3 linked regions of the Oryzias latipes genome follow. The protein of the gene in region 2 purifies or fractionates together with the protein of the main gene of each other region. This does not show direct contact. Links are inferred from orthologs where the notes say so. Each region holds a gene or a part of one and is shown on either strand. Other genes may lie near its edges.

Region 1 (2,839 bases), on a different chromosome or scaffold from region 2:
GACTCCAGCCAAAAGTAAAGAAAACTGTGACACCAGAAGTGAACAGATTTACCCAAGCTACATGTCATTTATGGATAAAACAAAACAGGTGGCGTCTCACCCAGCATCTTTAAGGAGATCCAGGAAAGCATGGAACTTAGTGAACGAGTTCTCAATGCTTTGAAGGACCGCCTCATCTTCAAAAGCGCTGAAAGCAGACGGTGCTGATGCTGAGCGAGCGGCTGTAAGGGCTTCTGTCAGGGAGCGGTTGGCATCACGAAGGCGAGCACTCTCCAACTCAAACTGTCCGGAAAGAAGAGGACAGTGTAGCAAGGGGAGCATTATCACCTCAATACGTCTGACTTACTGTACATTTTTGAGTTTCTTTTTTGTTATAACTAATGAAGAAGCAGAAATACAAAAAATGACCTCCAATAGTCTTGACTCAGCCTTCAGCCTGGCCCTGCGTTCCTCTGCCAGCCTGAGACGATACTCTTTCAGCTCCATCTAGGGGATGGACACCATACCACAATCAGCTGAAGACTAAAAAGCCAACAATTTACCCCCAAAATCCTGTTTTTGAGATAAAACTAAAGGTTTCAACAGGGATCAGCTGACTGAGGAAGTGGAGTGTCCCCAATGAACTCTGACCCTTAATCCCTAACTCTCCCCAATCACCCCGTGTCTCTAAAGCACAGACACAAATGCACGCACATTTCAAGAATAAATGTTTATATTCTGCATTTATTAAGCCTTAGTCATATATATTTCAATATTTACACATACTTCTAATAAAACCCAAACTCTACTTAGCTTTTAAATAAACCTGCTCAGTGTTTATAGTAAATAATTTACCACATTCAAATTACAAAGTATAATCTGAACTAAACATTTTCACACTGTAAATATCTGCACTTTCCACCTTTATTCATCTGTCAAACAATAATTACTCTTACTTCCATCTAATATAACAGGAGTATCAAATCATTTTTGGAGCAACAGTATGTAAGTGTGATTGGACCAACCTGGAGGCGCTCAAACTGTCGTTCAGTGTTTCTGTCCCGGAAATAAAAAGATGTTCTCTGATCCGGTTCCGCCGCCACTTCCTCCTGTTCATCATCATTGCCCTCTTCTTCTGAATCGGCCTCCACCGTGATTTTTACAGTAGCTGCAGCCTAATGAAACATTAAAACAGCATAATAAACACCAGGACTCGCAGCCTCTTGAATGCTTAATATTTCATTGTTTTGGAAAATGTTTTGACATTTTTCTGTTCCCTTTTATGTAAAGAAAAGAAAAATACCTGAAAACTGTGGTCTGTTACTGTTACTCCAGGAGGCAGACCTCTGAAAAAAAGGCATTACCCATCTTGAAGCCTTCACATGACTAATGCATCCAAACGGTGCTTTAAATAAGTAAACTTTCATTTAATTGTTCTGGTTGGTTCACTTGAGAGTTTGACATCTCACCTCTGACGCCCGGCTCGGGCAGCAGCCCGCCATGGGATAGAGCAGGAGCGGGAATTCTTGATTCTTGTCCTAGATTCACCCGAACATCGACCTCCGGGAGATGTGCCTTTAGCAGTGACTGGAGCAGGAAAGAAAAGAAAGCAAGAGTTTTTGTAGCTGTAAATACAGAGATAAGATACTTTAAATAGACAAAAACATGAAGTTCCCTTCAGAGGGTGGACAGATTTTGGCACACAGATTGTTGACAATTATAAAAAAAACAAAACAACTTTATAAATAAACTTTTAAAGAAAAAAACTATTAAAAAAATAAGCAACCCTGTTTTTCTTTATATTTGTACCAGTGAGCAATAAAAAGATAAGAACAACTTCAAGTTAGCTGATATTTAATCCTTTAAAAAGTCTTTAATTTTTTTAAAATAAATCTAAAGCCTAATTTTGTCTTGACTTCTGCAAAAACTTTCTTCATTCCATAGCAGTTCATCTGAATTCTATGAATTTTTTTAGCTACATTAGTCAGAAAAGATCATACAGTAAACATATTCTCTTCTCGTCTTTAAGTTCTCAGGAGATGACAAAAGACATTACACAGACAAGTTGATGTAAGGAACCGTTTGCAGAACAAACTGTTCAATCACAGGAATTGGAAATAGCAAAACCTTTGATTTACCTGACAAAAATAAACGCCACTTTGTAATTAAAAATGAAACTTTGACTCGCCCACATAAACAGAATATAACGCAGATCATGACAAATGGATCTGCTCTCGTGTTTGACTTAACAGTCAACTAAAATGGGTCCATGAAATTAAACAAACAGCTGTTTGAGACTTCCTCCCTCAAACTTAAGTGGGCCTGTTAGAGGTTCTATCTCCTTTGCAGTTGTCTCCTATTGTGGTAACCACACCCCTAACCTTTTGACTCCTCTGAAGCCTCAAACCAATCCCTCTTTCGCTCTGGACAGACTGCAGGAGGATTCAAAAGGAGGGAATGTTTATACCTTTTTTAAACAAAGTTTTTTCTCTGACTGAGTGAAGTTTGCTTAGTGAAGAAACTCTCTGCGATTCTGTAGCAGCCGGCTTGATCCAGTGGTACTGCAACAAAATAAAATATTAAAAGCTATGGCTTAAGTCTATATATAAAATAACATATGGATGCATTTTAAAAAATACATTACTTCCAGAAACTAACCTCCAGTGGTTGCCCGTCTGCATTCATTTCTACTTTCTCTATCACCGTTTTCATCAAAGCTTTATCTGTGGAGAAATGATGCCTTAAAACATCCCCAAAATCCTAATTTTTACAGAGTAATTATGCAATCATAAAAATAATTGATCACATCTTGAGGCTTTTATAAATGAGTAGTTAAATGCAAACTAACAGCGTATGTAAG
Region 2 (4,358 bases):
AAGGCAAACCCCGTCCTTGGTGGACAGACGTCATTGTAGGAGATGTTAAACCTCATGGGGTTGATATGAAGGATACTGAAGGATACTTCTTGCAGAAGACCGGAAAATATGGAAAACCCTTGTTTTTTTGGTCGGCTCTATGCCGACACCAGAGGAGGGATGAGTCTTTAAATATTTTTCCATAATGTTCAATCTGGTTTTTCATTCACTTTAAGATGATCCTGATTTGACTCTAAAGACCAGAGCTGGACCCGGTGAGTAGCTGCTAGGGGGAGAGAGGAGACAACGGGCAGCAGCAGAGAGGCATGGCCATTCCCCGCCCCTCTTTCACATCAGTAACCTACTCTCTCTCTGCCTCAGTGTGATGAATGATTAGCCAGTTTTTTTTTAATCAGATCAGGTTTTTGATCGTGTGCTCCTCTGATTATGACAGATTATTTGGGCTACCAGAGGCTCGACATTATTAAACGACGGCACTGAGGACAACAAACTTTTTTCCCCCTCCTAAACTGTTGTACCTTTCACAATAATCAAAGTGGGTTTATGTGACCCTGCTCTATCCAACTTTTTCATGATGAGTTCATACTGATTCCATTCCTCTTGTTGGCTTAGAGCAGCCAGCACTCAGAGCCCACAGCATCAAAACTCACCGTCTCTGCTGTTCAGACACTTCTTTAGGCTTTCATTGACGAGCGGGACTTTGTTCTGAAGACGAAAAGGAAAAGCAGGTGAGAGAGGAGCCAAGAGTGGAGAGTCCACTCAGGACCAAGGCCCACCTCCAGTCTATCTTGGTCCTCCATGGCCAGAAACACTGCAGCCCTCATCTCCGCCTGCAGGAGCAAAGACAAGCAGCAGCATGAGAGCCGCCCTTCATCTCCAATCCATCAACATTCCTTTTGACAGTTCTTTAAATTCAAAGTGCAGCTTCAGTTCTAACCAAATGTTTGAAACAAAGTCAGTACAGCAGAAGGAGGAGGGGCAATAAAGTCATTCAGTATCTATCTATCCATCCATTTAATTTTTAACCTGACACACGGTAACATTTATGACAGATTTTTTGATGGTGAGGTGGCCAGGTCCTGCAGTAGCAAAGCATCCCAAAACTATGACACTTCCACCTCTGTGCTGCACAGTTGTTATAAGGATCTTTTCTTTGAATGCTGTACTTGGTTGAAGCTGAGCAGGTCTTCTCTTCATCACTTAGTCTCATCTGTCCAAAGAACATTTTTCCAGCAGGCATGGACTATGTCTGCATTCTCTCACTTCTCCCTAACCCTAAATGATTACAAAGTGCAGGACCATCCAGTATCTAGATTTTGATGCAATTCAGAGTCACTTTTTTCTTTTTTAAAACAACACCTATAACATCAGTTTGCAGAAGTAAAAACCTAATAGATTTGAATATTTAACAAAGACAACGTATGAATCCATACGTTAAATTTACATAACCTTTTTCAAATGACAAACTGTGCAAACACAACGCATTGTGGTCTGTGACAAGAACAGGCCGACGGCTGGATCCAAGTGCAGCAGCTTTATTAGCTCAGCTAAAAGTCCACAAAGCTAAATCAGGGTCAAGCAGGCAGGAGTTGATAACAGGCATAAGATCATCAGTGGAGAGACAGGGTGGTCAAAATCTAGGCGAGGGTCGGGGCAGGCGGCAGGCAAACAGAGTCAGGGTCAGAAGACATAAGATCAAGTCCAGATATAACGCACAGTAATGAAGGCAGGAACTATACTTTGCACTGAGCTTCACTCAGTGCGGAGCTTAAGTTTGCTGTGGTTGATTGAATGAATAAGAGTCAGGTGTGCAGCATCCAGGAAGACTCCTGACAGTGGTCTATTTTTGCCATCCTTGTTAACATAGATGAACACTAGTTCTTTGCAGAAATTTGTGGGAAATTTCCAGAGCAGTGGATTTTGGAATTTTAGGCTTTGTCCAAATTCCTTCAATACGCACTATATAGTGTGTTCACCATTCTGATGTGCTGTCCAAATCTACTATTCCAAAATCAAGTGCCTAAGAAATTTCCCAGAAATCTCTGAACAAAACCAGTGTCCATTCGATGCTCACTAGATTGGCAAATAAAGACCACAATACATTGCGCTTGAACAATTTTTGCGAAAAAATTGCATTTAAATGTATTTTTTTAATAAACCATCAACGTTTTCATTTTCAGAACTCAGTGGATTCATAAATGATCGTCGCAAAACACTCCTATCAATGAGATTTTTACTTCGCTGTTTGAAAAAAAAAGAAGAAGAAGTAATTAGATAAGTTAAGACTTTATCCCACGATGGGGAAATTATTTTGTCTGCAGCAGCAAAAAAAGACTTAATAAATAGCAAAAGTAAAATTCAAGCAGAAGTAAAGTGACCTTCAGGTTTAACAGTAAATGATTATGAAAATCTTTTATATTAACATAGCGAGCATCATGGTGTCCAAACTGCTTTTAAATTTCAGGGCACTAGATGGCCTTGTATGGAGAGAAATTAGACTCAGTCGGATTTGTGCGTGCGTAATTCTTGATTTGTGCGTAAATTAGGATTTGTGTGTATGCATATTCTTCTTGCTTTGTGCATGCGTAAATTAGGATTTGTGCATAAAGCCAACGTAACGTTCAGCCCGGCAGAGAGCGCTGACGAACCAGACAACCGTTCTGTTTGGATTTGATCCGCGCACCTTCATCTTGTTCAGGACTCCACTATTCTCCAAGTTCTGGATCACCAGGTCCCGCAATTCCGTGTCATCTTCCGCAGCAGACATGTTCACCTGAAGCTATGCTAACAGAAAACCGCAGGTGTGTGTGTGTGTCTCTTCTTCCTCCTTTTCTTCTTCTTCTCCTTCTGCGTTAAACTAAGAGCGCCCCCTGTCGCCCTGGAGGAGCTGGAGCCTCCAGACACCGTCAAGTTGATCTCTCATTTAGGGGGTAATGAGTTCATGCTAAAATGTGATTTTTGACTACAGAAATCTTTCTGTTAAACTTGTACTTATCATCAGGAAACTCATATTTAAACACAACTCTCCCATATGTAACTGTTGGTAGATTTTATGGGATAACAAATCAATATTTTACAAAAATTGGATTGATAACGGTATTTGGTCATTATCACACATCATGAATTATAATGGAAACATTATTTAATTTAAAAGTGTTTCCTGTAAGTTTAAATTAAATTATAGAAAAACAATATAACAATGTGATCAAAGCAATCCCTCAGACTTTGGTCCAAATGTCCTCCAGTCTGGTTCATGATGTTCAAGTTCAGCTTCCATCTCTGTTGTTTGATGGTCAATCGCTTTATTCAAAACTTTCAAACTCATTAAACAGTCTTTGTTAGAGAACTGTTTCATCATTTCACATAAGAGGAAATGTGCAAGTTTAGATCTAAATTTATTAAATATCAGATTTTTGCAAAATACAAAGAAATCCATTTAATAACCATGAACTACGCTTTGGTTTTCCAGAAAATAACTGTTATTTTTATGAGATCAATATAGAAACACTTGATCATCTGTTTTTGAATGTATACTGTATATGTTATGTTATAACAGTTTTGGGGAGTTTTTTTGTTGGTGCTGTTCAAAGTCTCCTTTTCCTATTCTTATTCAGCTACAAAAACACATCGTATTATTTGGAGTAAATTCTGGTGATAAATTATTTAATTTGGCATTTAAAACACTATTAATATCTGGTAATTTTTTCATTAATAAAAGCAGATTCTTAGCAATAAAACTATTATTTAATACATTTCATAAAGAGATATTATATTTTCAATCACTGACATTTATGATAAACAAAAATGCAAGAAAACTATCCATTTTCATGATAGATAACATGCTGTATAACAATCCATAATTTAATATTATATTATGACATTTGTACTAGGCTCAATTCTAATTTTATTTTATTATGTTGTATTTTATTATTGTCTACATTTGTATTTCTTTCTGTTCTATCCATGTGAAAATTTATGTGATCTTTTGAAGTTCTAATAAAAAATATAAATGAAAATTCCTTGAAGTAGAACCATATTGTTTTCAAAGCAGAGGAAATACTTTCATCTTTGACCATTTTGTCGTCGTGCTTTATCTCTGACATAAATGTAAATTATTGATAGTGATGTTTGGTAAACTAGGAGGAAAGGAAACCTTTCTTTCATGTGTCTTGACATGGATAAATGTCATTCATGAAGTGTGTCTCTTTAGTTTTAGGTTGGATTGAAAGTTAAAGATATAATGTTCTCAATTCTCTACTGAAGTTATATTACATTTCTAAAGTAGGTCATTCCTGTTAATTTTGCCTAGCAAGAGATTTTCTGTGAGAGTTTGTCCAATGAAACTATTGGTACATTTT
Region 3 (4,086 bases), on a different chromosome or scaffold from region 2:
TGCAAAGAAGGAATATTTCATTTTTTATGATGTGAAATGGTGACATATTTAAACACAAATCTGTTCCTGTGTACTCACACCAGCTTTGGACTGAGCCAAACCTCTCCATGCAGTTGTTAATTCTGATTTTAAAAAATCACAAACGAAGTGAGAATTATTTTAAGAGTTTAAATTAAAACAAACAAATTTAAAATATGGGGGTTAAGTGCATTTTTAATACCCCTACCTGTGGTGATATTGTTATCAGTAAACAGCTGAGTTAAGCTTTTCGGAGGCCCATCAGTCTTCCTGCCCCTCCTCATTTCTCCCTTTCACCTGTAACCAGTATTAAGGTAAACAATGTGACAACAAATGTGTACATTTTTTGTGTTAGTATACCTTATGTTCAATAGTTCACAGTACAAAAGGATGTTATGCAAAAGCAAACAGTTGACCCACATTGAAGAAAACTGCAACAAGCCCTTTAAGCCAATGCCAAAATTATTTAAATAACAACAACAACATGATTTGGATGTGAATGCTTAGCATCGGTCAAAGTCTCTCATGCAGGGTCATTTGAGTACATACAATGTAACAGGTGTTAATCTGTGGCATTACACACATGACAAATATGTAAGCGTGTTACCAAGGAAGCATTCAAAACTGGTTCCACTGCAGAACATTCTTCTCATTGAAGCACAAGTTACACAGCAGACAATGTTTAAAGCACCAGTGAAGCTCGTCATATGCCACTGTTATCTGTAAACTGCTTTTACAGAGTCCAAAAGATATCAGTTCAACTCCTTTTATGTGTGTATCGAGCCCCATACCTGATAAAAAGATTTAAGATATAAATTTGCATGTTCAAAATGGAGTTTTTTTCACACCATTCTGTATTTAAACCCCTTGTGTTGTGGGCATTCATTTCAGACACCGGTAGCTGTTCTTTCTTGCTTTGTTCTTTGGAGAAACTGGACTTTTAAGGCAATTTAAAAGACATCGCACATCCAAGTAGCTTCTTCAAGAAGCTATCCCTGTGATAACACGTTTATGACTGAGAATCTCTACAGACACATTTCAGACTCCATGTGTGCTTTTATCCAAGTGCACACACGGCTCTGGAAGAAAAAGCATTTACAAAATAGAAACAAGAAACAAGCTTCAGGACGAAGCCAGGTCTCTACATTCCATCATTTTATCACTCTTTTTATCATGGTGTGTCTGTGTGTGTGGGTGGGTGGTGGGGGGTTCGTCACTGTTTGTCTTGTCATCTTGTTTTTTAAATTTTATTGTATTTTATGCACAGCACTTTGAGTGACATGTGTTGTTGTAAAAGTGCTATATAAATAAAGGCTGATTTGATTTGATTGAAGTCTTTTTCAAAGTTGGCGATCTGAACTCAACACTGACTTTTTTTTTATCATCCACTCTAACAAAGAGTGCAGACAGTAAATCAGCAACTTCTACATAAAGCATTACAAATCTGTTTGTAAACTCAAAACAGAAGAAAATCCAGAAGTAATTGTGCAATTAGAGAGAAAAAGGTACTGGTATGTATTTCTAAACTATCTGTAGATTAAGGAAGTTTCCCCAAGAAGGAAGGTATTCTAATAGTTGATTAGCATGGCTCATGAGAAATGTTCAAAACACTTCCATAGTTTGGAAATTACCTTAGTAGACTCGTAAGAGAAAACATACCATCAGTTTCCTATTATGGTAAATGTCAAACATTTGATTTAGTAAATATTGCATTTACAAGCAAAAATAGTCTAAAAGAAAACAAAACAACCACGTTAAGATTATGAAAGTTTAAAGTATTTAAAAACAAGGTTTTGATGCCGATTAGTGGACAAAAGCACTTCACTGTATTTGAACTGTGAGCGATTTTAAACCAAAAACGTGTAGATCTTTTCTTCGCTACTGTTGTAAGTTGCTATCACGCAGCATCCTAGGCTCACTGCTGCCACCTATGGACAAATTATGTAATTGCTATATAAAAAACTGTATTTTGGATTTACTTTACCATTAAATATTTAAATAAATCATGTAAAGTGTTTCAAGTACCGACATACACCTCGTAATAAAAGTAATTATATTCAGTTTGTTCAATTATACATTATATTTCATGTAACACAAACATCTCGAAACACTTTACCTTTCGATAAGCACCAAAATCTGAATGGCATAACAACTGAATTATCGTTCAAAAAAAGCTGATGATATGTGTTAAACTAAAGCACACCCCCACAGCGTAAAGACAGATTATAAAGATACAAATCGTATGGCAGTATCAAAAATGTTCGGGAAGAACCGGGGGGGAAAAAAGCTAAAGTTGTCACCGAAATGCCGGCTTAACACTTAAATCAACTGTCACTGAGTGGGGGGAAAGTGTTAAATATTTAGGTTTTATTAGACATTTTGTCTTCAAACCAAGACCAACAGTATGTTCTATCAAATCGTTAAATAAAAAATATAAATAAAAACAGCTGACTTCAATGTTAAATATTTCAGAAATGTCTCCGGTCCGGGGATTAGTCGTAGCCGCCAACTCCTCAAAGTTCATGCTTACGTTAGCTGACAGGACAATCATACATTTTGCTAAGCAAGAAAGAAATACCTACCTTAGGGCAACGATGTCGTGTGTCTAGAAGTCCAGTTTGTCGCCGATGTCCTCATGTTAAGAACTTCTTTGCACTTCCTCAGTTTCGCCGTTATCTGTTTGCTAACGTTAGCATTAGCCAGCTGACATTAGCAATAAAGCTTACCAACAGCTGTGCCAAATAAACTACAAGTTTCTCCAAATGAGAAATTTAGAAATACTCTGGCGCTTTCAGTGCTAAAAGATGCCGAATTTGAGAGGCATATGTATTTCAAAGAGTCACCCAGAGCTGCCTTTGAAGTCTCCCTCCCCGGGTTACTATGTTGATGTTTCCCAACAGCACAACTGTAGTATCTAGGACAGGAACATCACTGAGCCCAAAGTATCGCGAGAGTTGGACCGGATCGAGAACCACACTTCCGCATACATGTCCGAAACGATGTAGGCACAACAGCGCAGCAAACCCAATAACCCACCGTTAAAATACACTTTTAAATATTTTCAGCGTGATTACTGGTTCGTATCATATTACAAAATAGTATTATTTTCCCACATGATAGAAATAATAATAATTAGTATCATTATATTTTGTTGTTGAGAGTCTTTCTTTAATTTTCACCGTTTTCATGTTGGTAATAAATAAATTAATAATAATAAAGCAGATCAATAACAATCTAAATAAAGGGTCATACTTTTTCAATACAAACTATGTTATTCCAGGTAGACCATGGTGATATTTAATTAATATTAAAGAAAACCCTAAATTATTAGTTTGGAGAAGAGATTTAAACTATGAAATATGATACTAAAGTAACAGTTTTTACTCCAACAAGAGGATATGTTTTGCAAAGTTTTCCAATGCATTGTGAGTTTGGGTGGATAATACAATAACATGGTCCCAAGTTATCTCTTTTTTATTTTCTTATTTAATGTAGGACCAAAGATATACCCTTTGTAAAAATTAATCTATGCAGTTGTTCAACAAGTATAATTTGTCTATAGATACTAAGAGTGAGAAGGTATACTTGAAGTTTACTTTTCATTTATGATGTAAACTTCAAATGTTCCAATTTAGTCTGAATAAGTATTCAGTTAGTATTCTTCTTATACTACACATGCATTGTCCATAGTAGTTTTACTATTATTAATTATTCTTAATCTATTTATTATTTTGTCTCCTGTATTTTTCAAATTGCCTTGTGCTGTTTTTTTGATTGTTTTTATTTCTTTTTTTTACTCACCGTTGTCCTGTGCATTGCTGCTTTTGAAACCACCCACAATTTAAATCCTGCTGGCATTTACAGTAAATTCTATTCAATTGATTCAATTCTATTCTATACTATTCTACTGTTCTAAAAATTGATTTTAAATGTACTACATTTTGCTAAGTGTTTCCATGTATTACTGTATGTGTTTATGATATGAAACTATGGTGAAAAGGGTTGGAAAAAGCGCTCATAGAAAATTATGTTCGGATTATTATGTTAACTTTATGAAAATTCACACAT

Evidence for each region.
Region 1: the proteins of fgfr1op (region 2) and cep78 purify together in Homo sapiens (affinity purification with mass spectrometry; 3 studies listed by BioGRID and IntAct, with this or other methods). This does not show direct contact. The link is inferred for Oryzias latipes from reciprocal best matches to the Homo sapiens genes CEP43 and CEP78.
Region 3: the proteins of fgfr1op (region 2) and cep350 purify together in Homo sapiens (affinity purification with mass spectrometry; 6 studies listed by BioGRID and IntAct, counting the BioPlex papers as one, with this or other methods). This does not show direct contact. The link is inferred for Oryzias latipes from reciprocal best matches to the Homo sapiens genes CEP43 and CEP350.

The regions. Positions count from the first base shown.
Region 1 is NC_019867.2:7,056,229-7,059,067, reverse strand, and holds part of cep78 (centrosomal protein of 78 kDa), read right to left. Parts: intron 2,703-2,839; coding exon 2,638-2,702; intron 2,541-2,637; coding exon 2,447-2,540; intron 1,567-2,446; coding exon 1,449-1,566; intron 1,326-1,448; coding exon 1,283-1,325; intron 1,155-1,282; coding exon 1,005-1,154; intron 487-1,004; coding exon 409-486; intron 283-408; coding exon 101-282; intron 1-100. UniProt on the Homo sapiens protein: Centriole wall protein that localizes to mature centrioles and regulates centriole and cilia biogenesis. Involved in centrosome duplication: required for efficient PLK4 centrosomal localization and PLK4-induced overduplication of centrioles.
Region 2 is NC_019882.2:22,955,112-22,959,469, reverse strand, and holds the start of fgfr1op (FGFR1 oncogene partner), read right to left. Parts: upstream 2,838-4,358; 5' UTR 2,768-2,837; coding exon 2,684-2,767; intron 831-2,683; coding exon 777-830; intron 706-776; coding exon 651-705; intron 1-650. UniProt on the Homo sapiens protein: Required for anchoring microtubules to the centrosomes. Required for ciliation.
Region 3 is NC_019862.2:32,109,094-32,113,179, reverse strand, and holds the start of cep350 (centrosome-associated protein 350), read right to left. Parts: upstream 2,944-4,086; 5' UTR 2,601-2,943; intron 316-2,600; 5' UTR 303-315; coding exon 227-302; intron 123-226; coding exon 79-122; intron 1-78. UniProt on the Homo sapiens protein: Plays an essential role in centriole growth by stabilizing a procentriolar seed composed of at least, SASS6 and CPAP. Required for anchoring microtubules to the centrosomes and for the integrity of the microtubule network.